3 linked regions of the Drosophila melanogaster genome follow. The protein of the gene in region 2 interacts with the protein of the main gene of each other region in a pairwise test. Each region holds a gene or a part of one and is shown on either strand. Other genes may lie near its edges. The genes, in order: Sar1, Cpr92A and CG1116.

Region 1 (6,276 bases), 2.8 Mb from region 2:
CGGAGGAGGAGGAGAGCGACGATGGCGGCGATTCCAACACGGACAGCGGCCAGGAGAGTCTGACGGCCAAGAAGAAAAAGAAGCGGCGCATGGCTGGCGGCGGCTCCGGGTCCGGCTCCATGGGCGGATCATCGCGTTCCTGATCCAGGGAGCGGGCCAAGCGCAAGGGCTTGCTCATGCGCCTCTTTCAACGCCAACTGATGCTGCTGAGAGGACTGCCCCGCCGCTGCCGGCTCAGTTAGCACTGAGGTCGCGATCATACTCTGCAGAGTTTTGTGTATTTTTCTACTTGGACCAGCATGTTTGCAGCTCCTGGATCCCGTGCTCGCCCTCATCGAATGCCTGCTCCCTGATTTCAATAGATGCTCCGGACGTGACTCATTAGCGTAAACCCTAAATGCAAATAAATAAATGAATCCAATATGTTTGTACATCGCTGGGTTTCATTCAAGCTCGGCACATAAATCCAATGCAAAACAACAATAGTCACCAATTTATGTATTTTACAAAATTACTTTTCTCCGTTTTATTTAGAATTCTGTCTGCAAACAAAAATGCTTTTTTATATAAATTGCTTTCCCTTTCGTATTGTATAAAAGAAACAAAGTACATCGATGACATGCAACTTAAAATTTTTAGCTAAACTAAGGTGTACCATTTATCGGAGGTCGAATCCTTATAGGGATGTACATAATGTTTTGCGGCCAAAGTAAACTATTTAGGAAATCAATAGCGACATTTACAATTCATAAACTTGAAATAAAGGTAGGTGGCTACATTTTATTGGCGAAACAGCGTTCGTTGAAAGCACATGCTCTTAAATAAATCACCTTTAATTTGCTATAATTTGTTACTCATAATTATTATTAAAAGTTTCCCTTGCGCACTCCGCGCATCCTTCAGCTCCTTACAATGTATCCCGATGTTCCAGATAGAAAAGTTGTCTTCACTTTGATGTTGTGTTCTGTTTTTCCCGCGATTTCTTGTGTGTTACAGATGTACATTGTATGGTTTTCTGTTTTTTTTTTTTTATTATTATGAAATATTTGTAATTGTTTTGTATAAATTAGAAATTGCGCACGCAGCTTCGTTTTGCTTAAGGTCTGACGGTTTGAATTGGGCTGGGTTCACATCCCTTGGGTTCTGTTCTTTCTGCGGTCTCTAATCATTTTTGGAAATTTTGTAGCCAAGTTTTCGGTTTTGAGTGTTGAGTGGTGTTCTTGAAAATATGGTGCTGGTGGTGGTTGCTAATGCTGACTTAATCGATATACTGCGCCAGCCAACGGAAACCCTCGCCGTAGCCCTGTCGCTTCAGCACGGAGCACATGAACAATTCCAGAGGACGGCCGGGCAAATCGGCGCGTGCAACTTTGCCCTGCAAGTCAAATGGATATCAATTATGTAGCAGGAGTAAGGAGGGAGGGAGGGAGGGAGGTGGTTTTGGTGCTCACCTTGCCGGTTGTTAGCTGATACAGTCCGAACACGTTTCTCAGCTCATCCTCGCTAGCCGCGCCGGGCTTATCGATTTTGTTGCCCAATATGAGCACGGGGCAGTTGGACAGCGCCTCATCCGTGAGCAGCGAATCCAGCTCGTTTTTGCTCTCCTGGAAGCGGCCACGGTCCCAGGCGTCTATTAAGAAAACGATGGCGTCCACAGCAGGGAAGTAGTCCTTCCAGACGCGTCGTGCTGCAGAAATAAGTAGATATGTCTCATAAATACAAAAGCAGCAGTTAGTCTTTAGATGGGTTAGTCTTCCGATTTTTGAATCAAGATTTGCAAGGGCACCTTAGTAGTCGCTGCTGTTGACCAACAATCTGTAATTTATATAACATCGCTAGAATAACAAAGCGCAAGTCACTGATATCAGGCACAAATCTGATATCTTTCCGCCGCTAAGAACCTTTCTACTTTAGTGTACCTAGTAGTTCCGAAGCGAAAACGATCGTCACGATGACGAGCTGCCTTAAAATGAGTGCTAGAGCTTCGTTATCAAAACAACTGGATTTCACGATGTTTGATCACTTTTCATAATGTTCATATTTATATACATATATCAACTGCATGTATGCGAGTTTTTCGTTTCTGTTTGTTATCTACATAGAGAATGTTTGCCTTCATAATATTAATAATAAATACGTCGCCTATATGTGCACAGTGGTAAGGAAGATAGTATTTGCGAAAATCAACAAGACACTAATTGCTTTCTAAACATAAATGAACATATTGATTGTATGCAATGGGTTAAATATTCTAGTATTCTGAGGTCTTCATAATCACAGTTGAGATAAGATGATAATTGAGATCTCTGGATGAGCTGCTTGTGACCACTGTGGTGGCATTGCTTCGAGTGTGTGGCGCTGATTGATCGCAACAAATGCTACGAGTGTAAGACGCACTGGCTGTATGGGTGACCTGATGCGCTATATTTCATGCTGATTGTCGTGGATCTGGCGGCTGCGCTTGCTTAGCCCTGCGATATTTGCATACTGGTCTATATTTAGTCGTGGGCACGTACGGAAAATAGCAACGATTTGGATGCACATTCACATTCCCCTGAGCTCTGGTCAAGATTAGGCACTTACCCTGAGTGTGGCCACCCAAGTCGAATGTAGTGAAGCGCATGTTGCCGATGGACAGCTCCTCGGATGCTGCAAGTCAATCATATTAGTTAATTAAAGTCACACACATAACCACTATTTAGTCCATGAAGGAAACTCACTTGGATGCAGTGTGGGCACATGCTGCGCCAGCTTATCATCTTTGAGCATATGCAAGAGTGTGGTTTTGCCAGCATTATCCAGGCCCAGGAACAATAATTTGCCAGACTTTTTCCACAGACCTGAAAACGAGAAAGTGTGTTGAATAGCCTTTTGACTTACGCGTCATCAATTAATATACGCAGCTAAACTAACACTAGTGGCGGCTCACTTGTGTTTGCCCAGCCACAGACAGCCGAATATACATTTGAGGTCGAGACAATAGCTCTTGGACTTCGGGCTAATTATTACCTTTGCTACCCAAAATGTTCGGCTATCATTAACCTGATTAAAGATCAAGCTATAACAAAAATGCGCTTATAACAACTGCTATCAGTTTGGCCTGCACTGTAGAACAGTACTTTTCGTATGGAATAATTTTAACTTTTAGCATTACAAAGCAAATAAAAGTGTAGCAGCCATCTGGAAGCGAGGAAAACCCTATCAAAAATGTCTGCTTAAATAATTGTGGCTGAAGAGTACATGGCTATGCAATCAAAATACCTTTTACAGAAGTGTATATTGTATATGCACCCTAGAGTAATGCATATTCAACGCGCATTTGTTGTGATAGAGAGACCTAATGGAAAGTTATAAGCTTTCGACACCTTATAGACACAGTTTAACCTCTAGATTTCGAGATAATCGCACGTTTAGAGCTATCACCACGACCTCCGCTGTACAGCCGTCGAATTTGGGTTTCTTTTGTGCGGCTGCCTTGTTGGCACTCGTTCAAGAAACGCCGCCCCAAGGCACAAGGTCGGCAATGGCGACGTTGCTTACCCAGGTATCCCAGCACTCCGGTGAACCAGTCCCAGATGAACATCCTGATGGTTTCGTGTGGCTATCGGTTGCGGGTGATTGGCTCCAAGAGCAGCTTGTGTGTGTTTATTGTGGGGGGAAGAGAGCTGCTGGGCTAGACGGCTGCCGGATCGAAAAGAGATATGGCATGGATAATGGGTTAGTGCGCATTTCGACTCAAGTTCAATGTCCAGCCACAGAAACACAATAAGAACAACAGCAGCGGCAGCAACAGCGGCTTGGTGTATAGGAAATCAATTTTACGGCGGCTCAACTTCCGGAACCTTGACACACATACAACAACACGCACACTCGAGCGGCGGGGACCTTGCGGATATAAGGAAGCAAATTCCTCCTGGCGGCGAAACATTCACTTGGGCCCATTATTTAGTTAATTAGGTTAAAACCTGTTCTTTGTCAACTGGGCAGCACTTTCTTTATTTCATTCTTTCTCTGCCTCCTGCCCTCTCGCTCGCTCACTGTCTGTGTGTGTGTGTGAGTGGCACTGGGTGTGCGCGTGTGTGTGCGTGTGCTGCCTGTCTGTGTGCAACTACGTGGTAACATGCATTATATTATACTTTATAATATCATTTCACGTTGGAGCACATTTCGTAATCACACTTTGGACGGCAGGTGCACGCCGATCTAAGCCGCACCCTCGAAAAAAGCATAAAAAGGGCGCAGACATCCGGACTTCCGATTCGAATTCGAATTGAGATTCGGATTTTGCACTACGTGGACGCATTTCGGAATTTAACTGCCCGCGGCTGCGGGTAGCTTGCGTTTGATATGGACTTTTACTTGCGCACTTGCTGTTGCCGCCGCGCGTTCGTATCGGTATTGGCGGCTGGTTACCGTGCGTCTGCTGTGTGTATTAATTGTCAACCTAATTCGCTTTTTCTACCTCACGTTTTTATTGGAGTCAGTTCAGTTTTTTTTAATCATAAGCCCCAGTGTGACCAATAAGCGAAAGCTGTGAAATATCGATGTTTGTTTCGTACCATCGATTTTGGGGGTAGCACGAGTAATCGATGTTTTGGTGGATAACTCTGCTAGAGCGAAGCGAGCCAAATCAAGAGTGGTTGTTGTACTCGCTAGCGATAGCTGTACAGCCCTGGTCTTTTGACTCAATCTGGCAGCCCTACCGCAAGGTGGCAACTCCACTACATGCGCGGGCAATTCCAATTCAAATGAATGAATGTATAAATGCATTCATAATGTTGCCAAACTATTTACACGCATTTAATGTTATATCGATTAGAGAATATGCAAAATATTATAAATGTTTAATTATCGTTTTATTGCATTTTTATGTTATTTGTAATAAGATGTTAATACAGATGTTATCTACAGATAACATCTTAAAGAATATAAAGTGTCGAAACAGTTGCTTGAAATGCAATAATGTAATTTTTTATATTTAAAAATATGTACATTTGTTCTCTTATTACATAGAAGAACATATACAAAATGTACAAATAATATCGTTTTGGGTAAAATGTAATTCTCTTGAAATTCAAACTAAAATTCAATCGACCTTCCGCATCTGCTGCAGGATGATGTCCTCCACCTGGACGCCATCGGGAGTGTTCAGCGCATACAACACGGCCTTGGCCACATCCCTTGCCTGCAGTTTGGGCAGCTCGGCTACCGCCTGCGAGTAAACACTAAGGAAATCCGTGTCTACCATGCCCGGGCAAATGCTCTGCAATGGAGGGATAAAAATGGAGAGGGTAACCAATGAGCAGACGCGTCATGTTTGCCGCATTTCCCGAGGATTAAGATGGAGGATGAGGCGCGCCATGTATGCACTGCATTTAACTTACCGTTAATTTAATATTTAATTTGAGAAAATGTATTTCCTGGCGCACCGTTTGGCAGAGGGCCGTAATTGCATGCTTCGTGGCCGGATAAACGCTGAATAAGGGCACCGGCACTTCCGGAATCCGATGGCCAAGCACGCTGTTGTCAAATGTTGTCCATACACATGTCCAGAGCAGAGCGAAGGAGGAGGCGGAGGAGTAGCATGAGCATCGTCCACATGCCAAGGTATGGCGGTGCGTCGGGGATGGAAAATAAAGACAAAGCGGGGTCACAAACGGCGGGTGTGCGTGGGTAAATAAAGTCAACACAACGGATTTCAAGCACTTAAAACGGCAACAAAAAACAAGTCGCCGTCGAACACCTACGGAAAATGATGGTCAGCAGCTGACGGGACATTTTTGCGTGCATTTTATGCAAACATTGCGTAAACTTCTTTTAATTTTACCCCCACACCTGACGAAAAAGCAAGAAAAGACTTAAAAACTTGTGCTATAATATTTTGATTGAATGCGAAATTTTTGGAAAAATAAGGGAATTATAAGTTACAACTAGTTTTTATATTTGCTACAAGATATTTAATTTAATTAAACTGATATTTTTATGAAGGCATTCATTCGAGTATCCTTTTTTTCGAGTGCATTTGGAAGAGCACGGGGTGGTACTTACGGCTCTGAGCCGGGGGCATTAAATGCAAACAATTGCCAACGTTGCTGCAGATGCTGGGCGGCCGGCATACCCTTGCAGTTTTTAATTAATTAAGTCTTAATATTATTGCACTGACATTAAGCGAAATGCATATGGACGACCGCCCAACTTCCACTGCCCACCTGTCAAGCCCCTTGACACACACACAGACACAGGCCCCCCGAAACGTCACATGCTCATTAGCAACGC
Region 2 (4,031 bases):
ACCCATTTTGTGTCCACACTCACCAATGCTCTGGTGTGAAGGTGATAAGGGTCTGCGAAAAGTAGTGCAGTGATCCAAGAATATTTGTGTAGCCGTACAGCAAAAGGATCATCACCTGGAACCTGCCATAGTTTCCACACTTATCCAGAACCTGACTGAAATCCATCAGACGTTGCTTCGATGACATAAAAAATTTCCAAAGCGACTGACTACTTCCAACTCCCTTTGAGAACTGACCAGAAGCTAAATTAAACTGCGCTGGGAATAGCCATAAATTTATCTTTAGCGGCTTTAGGCAATATGTTTCATAAAGCTAAAACAGCTGGATGGGTTTTAAAATTACAGATATACCGTCAAATGTTTTGCCAGCTGTGAGCCCTGTAATTGGGAAAATATCTACAGGAGATGTCACATCTATCGCGTAAGTTTTTGTCGAAACAAAATTTTTGCAATTAAAATACCTACATACATACCAATATTGTGCTTAACTAATCCATTATTGACTAGATTTTCCATTCAGCCATATTGGCAACTTTGTAGCATTAGCCTGCCATTCTTGTTGATCAATTGCTTTGATCTTCTGGCTAAAAATAGTTAAAACAGCTGACATCGACTGGCCCGGCGGTTGGCACGACTTTGATTCTTTGTTATAGTTAGTTGTCGCATAAACAGGCCCGATGGTAACAGCAAGGGTAAGACAATGCATGCAGATGTCAATAGTTTTCCAGATGCCAGATACAAATTTGCAGCCATAAATTAAGCTCACAAAACGGTAAACATGAGAATTGTCGCAGACACTTGGTCGTTAGAGGCTGGAAAGGGTATTTTTGGCTAATCAGGCACTCTTAGGAACTAGCTGCAAACTTTTTTGGTCCTTCCAGAAATTATCTCAAGTTTATCATTGATTATAAACTATGTAACTGATCAGTATTCCTATTACAATGTGTCCTATCATAGTCAGCTTTTAGCATCTCCGCTACGTAGCAACCATTTAAGGGGAAGATCAAACAGAAAACCAGTCTTCAGCTGAAGGATCAGTCATGAGTAACCTTATATAGTCGTCATGCCACTTTTTGAAGGGTATTATTAATGACATTATTTGCCTAGACTGCAAGTGGTTGTTTGGCCTGGTCTGTGGGCCAGACTAATGTGCCGACAGCAGCGCGTTGACCTTTTGCTTTATTAGGCTGTTGTGGCGAGCCAGTCGCCCCTGTTTCCGCCCCCCTTCTTCGGTGAGCCTCTGGCTTTTGGGCCCACTCCAGGCACTCTTAATTCAATTGTGGACCACCTGACCTTTTGCGCATGCGCTGCAACTGCCATTTCATATGGAACCTCAACATCGCCCGGTGCAGCTTGTTCTTCTTAGCTAATTACGCGGCAGCCAAATGCAGCATATCCTAACATCCAGCCAATGTTAATGTAACATTTCAATTGTGTGCGGCAAAATAAATTTTCACATAATTGCCAAAAGTCGGTGTCCAAGCGGGTATTGAAAAGCGAATCGAAAACGAATCGTAAACGTCGCAAAAGTGAAAGGGCAAAGCTCGGGTTGGATTGGCTCCGGGGTCTGGGGACCCTTTAAATGGTTTAGCGGAAGAATAACCTTTCTAAGTCGACACGATAACTGCGCCAAAGTTGAAGCCAGGCACACGATTTGCCGCCAGGTGGGCAAGAGTCAATCCCCGCCCCCGTGGCTCCGCAGTACTGGTCCGCGCCATGTGCTTGATCGCTGGCCCAAGACACCGAAGACTCCGTCTGGCCGGGTCTCTCTTGATCTGAAATTAGTTTATTGCCTCGACTGCGCCATGTGAAGCAGGCGACATTTGCCGCCGTTTGCCAGTATAAATGGCCAGAACTTCCAGCGAACGCTTGCAGTTTTGGTTACTTCTTCTAGCGCGATCGTCGTCGAAACCAACAATACTCCGGCCACTCTCTACGTGTGGTGTCTGCTGAGTCTGTGACAACTGTGAGCGAGTGGAAAGGATACCCCTGCAAGGACATCGTTATGCTGAAGGTGTGAAAACAAAGGATACCAAAGTGCTCTTATAGTCTGGACAATCAAGTTTAAGCCGATTTAACATATTCTCAAGGGGAATGCCAAGATGAATTAACCAAGTGTTCCTATTACTAAAAGCTTATATTTTATTCATACAAAGAAAATTAGTGCATAAAGAAGATAGTTTAAGTCCTAATGAAACCCGTCGAATGATCCGAGTTAATATGTGATTTGATTTAAATTAAATTTAATTGCCAAGAATTATTCTAAACAATTCTTCCCTGTCCTCATATTACTTAAAGCTTATTTCAATTTAATCGCTTTCAACATTTTCTTTTAATTTTTTTTTCAGATTTCCCTGCTGAGCGCCATGCTCGGCATCGCCTATGCGGGCGTGATTGGACCCGGACCATACTATGGCGGTCCAGCTGGTCCCGGACCTCTGCACCACTATGGAGGATATGCACCGCAGCATGGGCCCCTGCCAGGTCCCTATGTGGCGCCCAAGCCGGCTGCTCCCGAACCCTACGATCCCGACCCGAAGTACTCCTTTGGCTACGACATCCAGGATGGTTATACTGGTGACCTGAAGTCACAGCACGAGACGCGCCACGGAGATGTGGTGAAGGGCAGCTACTCGGTTGTGGATCCGGATGGAACCAAACGCACCGTTGACTACACAGCGGATCCCCATCACGGATTCAATGCGGTGGTCCGCAAGGAGCCGCTGGCCTACAAGGCACCAGCCCACCTGGCACCCGTCGTCGCACCTGCACCCGCTCCAGTACCAGCTCATTACGGCCCAGCTCCGGCGCCTCCACTTCCGCCGGTGCCCAAGGCTCCTCTGCTTTCGTATCCTCTTGCCTTAGGACCTTACCACCGTGGTGCTCCCGCTCCTGCACCAGGTCCCGCTCCCGCTCCTGCTCCAGCTCCGGTGTCTGTGCCAGTGGCTACTCCAGTCCTGCCCTCCGCCCACTTCCATGCCGCCTATCCCGCCCTGGCGCACAGCCCCTATGCCCACTATCCGGCTCCAGGTCCGGCCCCCGCTCCAGTGGAACCCCATGCCTACTACCATCACTGAGGGACCAAGGTTCTCAACTATCTGATCTGATTTGATTCGACTTCATCTATCGCACGCAGCTTACACTGACCCAAAACTGAAACTCCGGCTATATCTGTGCCAAACGCTGTACTCTCAATCTCTTACTCTGTGTTCTTCGAGGGATTTGATACCGATCCAACATGTAGATTGATTCTAAGTTACCCCTAGCCTATGTACACGTCTTTAAGAAAATGTTGTTGAATGGTTAGTCTAGGAAATAAAACGAGAATTGAAAAACCTAACAAATTTGTTTGCGGTCTTCCCTAGAAACTATTAGATTGAAGTTCCGAAGCCAAGAAGAAAATAGTCCCACAAAAAGTTTTTAAATAATTTAAAAAACAACGTTTTAACGCAATTGATGAGTGTTTTATTTATTGTATCAACTTTTCGCAATGGTTCATATATGTATATGTTATATGATATCGTATGTGGCATATCTCATATGTATAATTTCTGATTATGTATAAATATGTATATGTGTGTTGTATATAAACGTTTCGAGTATGTCACCGTATGTTATAAATAAGTTTATTACAATGCATAATGTGTTATTATTTATGTATTATGTTTTATGTTTAATAGGTTCTATGAGCTACCATTCGTAGAACATACTGAAATGTTTTCGATATCGATATAAATTTATGTACTCCTCAGCCGACTTCAAAAGTTCATCAGTGTGCAGAGTGCGTTTTGGTCTCGCTGCACTCGATTAGGTATACAATTTAAATACGATTATAGTCCTTAGTTTTGTAATAAACGGTATCAAAAGATAGGTACAATTGAGTCATGCCTGCTACCACTAAATTAATTTCGAAGCTTCTATTCCAACAAAAACGATTAGTTGCCAAGCTCGGGGCTTTGTGTCTATCATTATCCGTCTGATTGATTTGATGTGTACGATTATTTAAACTAAGGGTCTTTAGGCTGATATAC
Region 3 (4,715 bases), about 14 Mb from region 2:
AAGGCCAGTGGCTGGCTTAAGAGCGATCGCCTGGCCGAGAGTTCAAACCAATACACGGAGTCCCCGACCAAGACGCTGATGGTCCGCGTATCGGGCATGAATCCCGGATATGGAGCCACCTGCGTGGCTGTGCTCTCAGCGGCACTGACCATTCTTCGTGAGTCGGACAAGATGCCCAGCACAGGCGGAGTGCTGCCTCCAGCTGCCGCCTTCTCTAAGACCGGACTAATTAGCGAGTTGGAGAAGCACGACCACGGCATCAAGTTTGAGATTCTGGCCAACAAGTAATGTCCAGAATCGCACTTCTCCCTCCCAGCGGCTCTCTTTTAATCACCTTACTTGGCTGTTTGTTACTCGCGGTTTGAACTGTAATTATATAAGCACTTATTAAACTAACCCCCACATCCGCTGCTGTTGTTGCCGATTTCAAAGTCCAGGCGAAACGGGTTAGATCTAATTCAGTGAATTTTGCACCTCAGAATAAATTAAGATGCGAAAAACAGATTTTCCTACCTTAAAATGTAAATATTATCTTGGCTAACATCGCCAGGTGCAAGTCGCTATGAACATGACTTTCTGATTTCAAGCGGTTTGATTCGTATATTCGACTAAATTTTAATTAAGATTTTTGTATTTTACAAAGACGTAAGAGGGGATTGGGTTTCAGAAGTTTTTAAAAGGAACCGTAATCGACTTGTTGCTTTCGTTTGCTCTTTCTAAACGGCCTTATATAGCCTTAAAAGTGAGAAACCCTTTGGATTAGTTCTCCAATATATTAATACAATACTTCTTACTACTTACTTCCATCAAGAGAACACAGTTAACTGAAGTGCTATTACTTTATAAGCAGGTTGAATGTCTGGTTTGGAGCATAAATCTGGAGAGGATTCGCAGCGTAGACGGTCACGGGCAGATTCCATACCATCGTCTCCACGGGCATTTCAGACGGTGCTTTTAGCTCGCCGGACTCCGGATTCGGAATGCCAAAGTCAATCAAAGTTGTGGTCACAAACTCGAAATGCAATCGCCATCGCACGTCGACGAGGTCTGTGCGGAATGTGGGTGTTACGTGCAGCGGAATGGGTACCACGACCTGGGTCTGCAGCGTTGCGTAGCACACTTGGTGGGAGGTGGAAATGGTCGAAAGTTTCCCGGTTGGCTCAGGCGCCTCCTTAACCTTTGAGCTAGCCGATGTGGCCGACTTGTGGAGGTTATCTGCCAACACTCCGCTAGCTATGCTGGCCATATCAAAGGAGTTCATCGAGGAGACATCATCGCCCGTCGAGGATTGCGACTGCAGCTGGTGATTTTGCACTGGTTGCGGTCGGATGGAAAGCTCCTGCTGCTGCAGCTTTACCGAAAACTGGACGCAGCGCACCTGGTAAGATGCAGTAGGATTTTAGAAAGCGCATTATGAGTAATGACAAAAAAAATCACCAACCTTTCGGGGGTTAACGCCGGGATCAAAGTCCAGGCTGCCCACAATGTCCTCACCGAGCTTATACGCTGGCTTGAACAAACAAAAGCGGCCAACGAAGCCGCGTTTGTTCGAGATGCGGTAGAACTTCGGCGCCCGCCGAGCGGTTACGTTCTGAAAGACACAGAGCAGAGGACATTGACAAGGTACAGCTGCTTATGGGATCTAGATTTCCTTGCCTTAAGGTGGTGCCACGATATCTCAAGCTCGCTGATCTCGCGCTTTTCCAGGAACGGATTAGTGGGCGCCAGCTCTTCGTTGGTCTCTACGGTTACGGGAAGTTCGTCGGGCCGCGAAATTATGGGAATTGGCAACACCCGGATGGGAACGGCCAGCGTTTGCACCTTGGACTTGACCCGTTGCGTAGCAATGGTGATCTTGTAGAAGTACCGGATGTTGTGGCCTCTGTACGTGGGTGGGCCATCGCGGGGAATGAATTCATTGAAAAAGTCTGCAAGGCGACTTGCTCGTTAGTAAAACCAAAAAGCTAAGAAGTAGGGCAAGCTCATCACTCACACATCTTGGTCTCTCCAGGCTGGAGGCGCAGGTCGCAGAAGAGGATCTTGGGCTTGGTGGCCACAATCACCTCTCCCGGCGCCTGCGTCACCGCATCCAAAGCCGTCCTGCCGATCATCTCCGTGAGCTCCGCGGCTCGGTCGCCCGCGGATGTAGAGTAGCTAGTTTTCCGGTAGCAGTGCAGCTGCGCCGAGGCCCAGGCCAGGTTCTCCTGGCTTCTGGTCGGTTTTGCATGGTGAATCAAGGGAAGAAAAACAGTTAACAACAGCTCGGCTCACCTTGCTTCGTTGGCATTGTGGACAGCCTGCGACGCGGCTGGCTCGTCGGAGAACACCTTGTGGGTGAACTCGATCAGGCACTGGACTCTCTCGCCCGTGGCGTAGATGGCCGAGTCCGCACGCAGCAGTTTCGCCTTAATTTCAATCATTTATTTACTTTTTTATTTGGTCGCGACTCCCGTAGAGTGACCGTCTGCAGGAATTGTTCGATAGGCCCGCCGATAGCGATAGCAGCCGTGCGCGTACGCCAACCACTTTTTAAATGTCCCACCTCTGATAAGTCGTGTTACTGAATTTAAATTTTCTTTTTACTCTAGCAGAATCCCAGGTAGGCCTTGGGTATAAGCTCGAAACATTGTCATTGCTGTCGCGCACGAGAACAACCAGTATTCAGCTATATTTTATAAAATCCACGCATTATGTTCAACGGCTTACCAACCTTGATGAAATACCCAGACCGATCGCCTTTTCTGTGCGGTCCCAGCGGATTTACATTCGACAATTGTCTGCGGTGAGTTGGAACACAGTTACACCTAATGGCCAGCAAGCCATATTCAACACCCAACCTTTTACAAACCAACCTTATTCAACGAATGACAAAGGAAAACATTTCGTTTGTTAATAATTAGTTGGTTAATAGTTCTAGTGGCACAACTTTGTTGAAAAAAATTGGGTAAGCCCGCTCTTTTGAAAAATGAATCAATTCATTGCCCATTGATACACGAGATAAGCATTTTGGCTCCCCTAAGATTCACCGAATTCCCATTTGGTTGAAAGAGATGGCATTTAGGTTTGCCAATGTTTGAATCGCAATATTTAATAAAGAGTTGCTGACACGGGGTATCTTGTAGTGCAGCCACTTCGCTGTGGCGACTTTTGCTTATGTGTTCAATTCTCGTCCGCAGCAACAAACAACTAAAAGAGAATGGCCTTGAGGAGCCGAATAGCTTTACTACTGGCACCACTGTGGTGGGCATCGTGTTCGACGGCGGAGTAATCATAGGCGCCGAGTCCAGGGCTACCAGCGGCGGCATAGTTTTCTCAAAGACGTGCCGCAAAATTATTGAGCTGCAGGCCAACATTTTGTGAGCATCTAGCTATCTATGAGTACGCCATAGACATAATATAATGGTACCTTGAAACCACACAGTGCCGCGGGAGCTGGAACCGCTCGGGACACGAAAGCCCTGGTGGAACTGACGCGGGCGCAGCTGGAGCTTCACCGGATGAACACTGGGTTCCGCAAAGTGCCGGTGTGCTGTGCCAACCAGATGATACGGCAGCTGCTGTTCCGTTTCAACGGGAATATAGATGCCGACATGATCATAGGCGGCGCGGATAACACCGGAGCGCATCTCTTCTGCACTCGCAGCGACGGCTCCACGGACACGGCGCCCTTCACGTCCATCGGCTCCGGCTACCAGGTATCCATGTCCATCCTGGAGTCACGGTGGTCGGAGGACCTCTCCGAGGAGTCCGCCTGCGCCCTGGCTTGCGACGCCGTGGCCGCGGGCATGAAGAACGACCTGTGCTCCGGAGGCAAGGTCAGCCTCTGCGTCGTGCGCTGCGACTTCTCGGTGCAATGGCCCGAGCAGCTCCCCCGCCAGGTCCCACCAACTCGCACCTATCGCCTGTCACCCAAGCCCGGCCGAACCACCATTCTATCCACCTTGGTGCATCCGGTGCTTTCGTGGCGGGGCGCCCTAGCTCTGCCCGAGCCAGGAGGTAGCCAGGAGCCAGGGCGAGGACCAGGCACTAGTGGTGCCGCCAGAGGGCAGGAGGCCCCGCGCAGATCCAACAGTCTGGACGAGCCGGAGGCCAAAAGAAAGAAACGCGGAGGGAGATAGGACCCGGCTTGGGTGATCCTCAATATCCTTACCACAAATTTCTTGATTGGTCGTAAGCGTTTAGTGAGTTACCGTGATTTCAAACTTTCCATCTGGAAATTGAAGCTTGTTGCGTTATCTTGTGCAAATTACACATTTTTTGTTTCGAGCACGACCTTCCACCAGGAGGAAAAGAGCTCTGTTACCCGGATATTTGTACGTAGATGGATTAAATCAAATTAAACCAAATTATTTAAAATCCAAATAAACCAAATTATCAAAAAAGGTTTTCAGAAGATTAAAGGCCGCGAAACAAGCCCTAAAACTGTTTTCCCGTCAAAAAGGATCTATCTGCTATGACATAAAAAATTAAAATTTTTAAATAAAGTAAAAAATACGTAAGAGAATGGACAAAACAAATCTAAAAATTTGAAAAAGTTAGATCGGATGGTTGTAGTCTTTGCTGAGTGGTTGATGAATGTGCTACGCCGTATCGGTGGCAAATTTAGGACATGCAAAAATTTGGCTTTATCAACAAGTGGCTCTGCGGTCATACTGCCTGTATTCTGCGCAATCCTGCCTGCGGTCACACCGCGGAAAAATGTCGAAGGCGCGCGT

The links.
Region 1: the proteins of Cpr92A (region 2) and Sar1 interact in a two-hybrid assay, tested with the Drosophila melanogaster proteins (one large-scale study listed by BioGRID).
Region 3: the proteins of Cpr92A (region 2) and CG1116 interact in a two-hybrid assay, tested with the Drosophila melanogaster proteins (one large-scale study listed by BioGRID).

Annotation. Positions count from the first base shown.
Region 1 is NT_033777.3:22,354,936-22,361,211, reverse strand, and holds Sar1 (Secretion-associated Ras-related 1), read right to left. Parts: upstream 4,528-6,276; 5' UTR 4,414-4,527; exon of another isoform or gene 4,165-4,413; intron 3,696-4,164; exon of another isoform or gene 3,682-3,695; 5' UTR 3,584-3,681; coding exon 3,541-3,583; intron 2,841-3,540; coding exon 2,721-2,840; intron 2,650-2,720; coding exon 2,584-2,649; intron 1,688-2,583; coding exon 1,452-1,687; intron 1,376-1,451; coding exon 1,259-1,375; 3' UTR 501-1,258; downstream 1-500. Other genes in the region: JMJD6 (jumonji domain containing 6), read left to right, coding at 1-143; rdhB (retinol dehydrogenase B), read right to left, coding at 5,087-5,263, 5,385-5,520.
Region 2 is NT_033777.3:19,596,809-19,600,839, reverse strand, and holds Cpr92A (cuticular protein 92A), read left to right. Parts: upstream 1-1,884; 5' UTR 1,885-2,005; coding exon 2,006-2,014; intron 2,015-2,348; coding exon 2,349-3,077; 3' UTR 3,078-3,338; downstream 3,339-4,031. Other genes in the region: CG7333 (uncharacterized protein), read right to left, coding at 24-166.
Region 3 is NT_033777.3:5,217,412-5,222,126, reverse strand, and holds CG1116 (uncharacterized protein), read right to left. Parts: upstream 2,471-4,715; 5' UTR 2,421-2,470; coding exon 2,272-2,420; exon of another isoform or gene 2,212-2,271; coding exon 1,994-2,211; intron 1,929-1,993; coding exon 1,657-1,928; intron 1,592-1,656; coding exon 1,442-1,591; intron 1,379-1,441; coding exon 836-1,378; 3' UTR 579-835; downstream 1-578. Other genes in the region: CG2604 (uncharacterized protein), read left to right, coding at 1-288; Prosbeta2R2 (proteasome beta2 subunit-related 2), read left to right, coding at 2,691-2,782, 3,177-3,356, 3,422-4,118.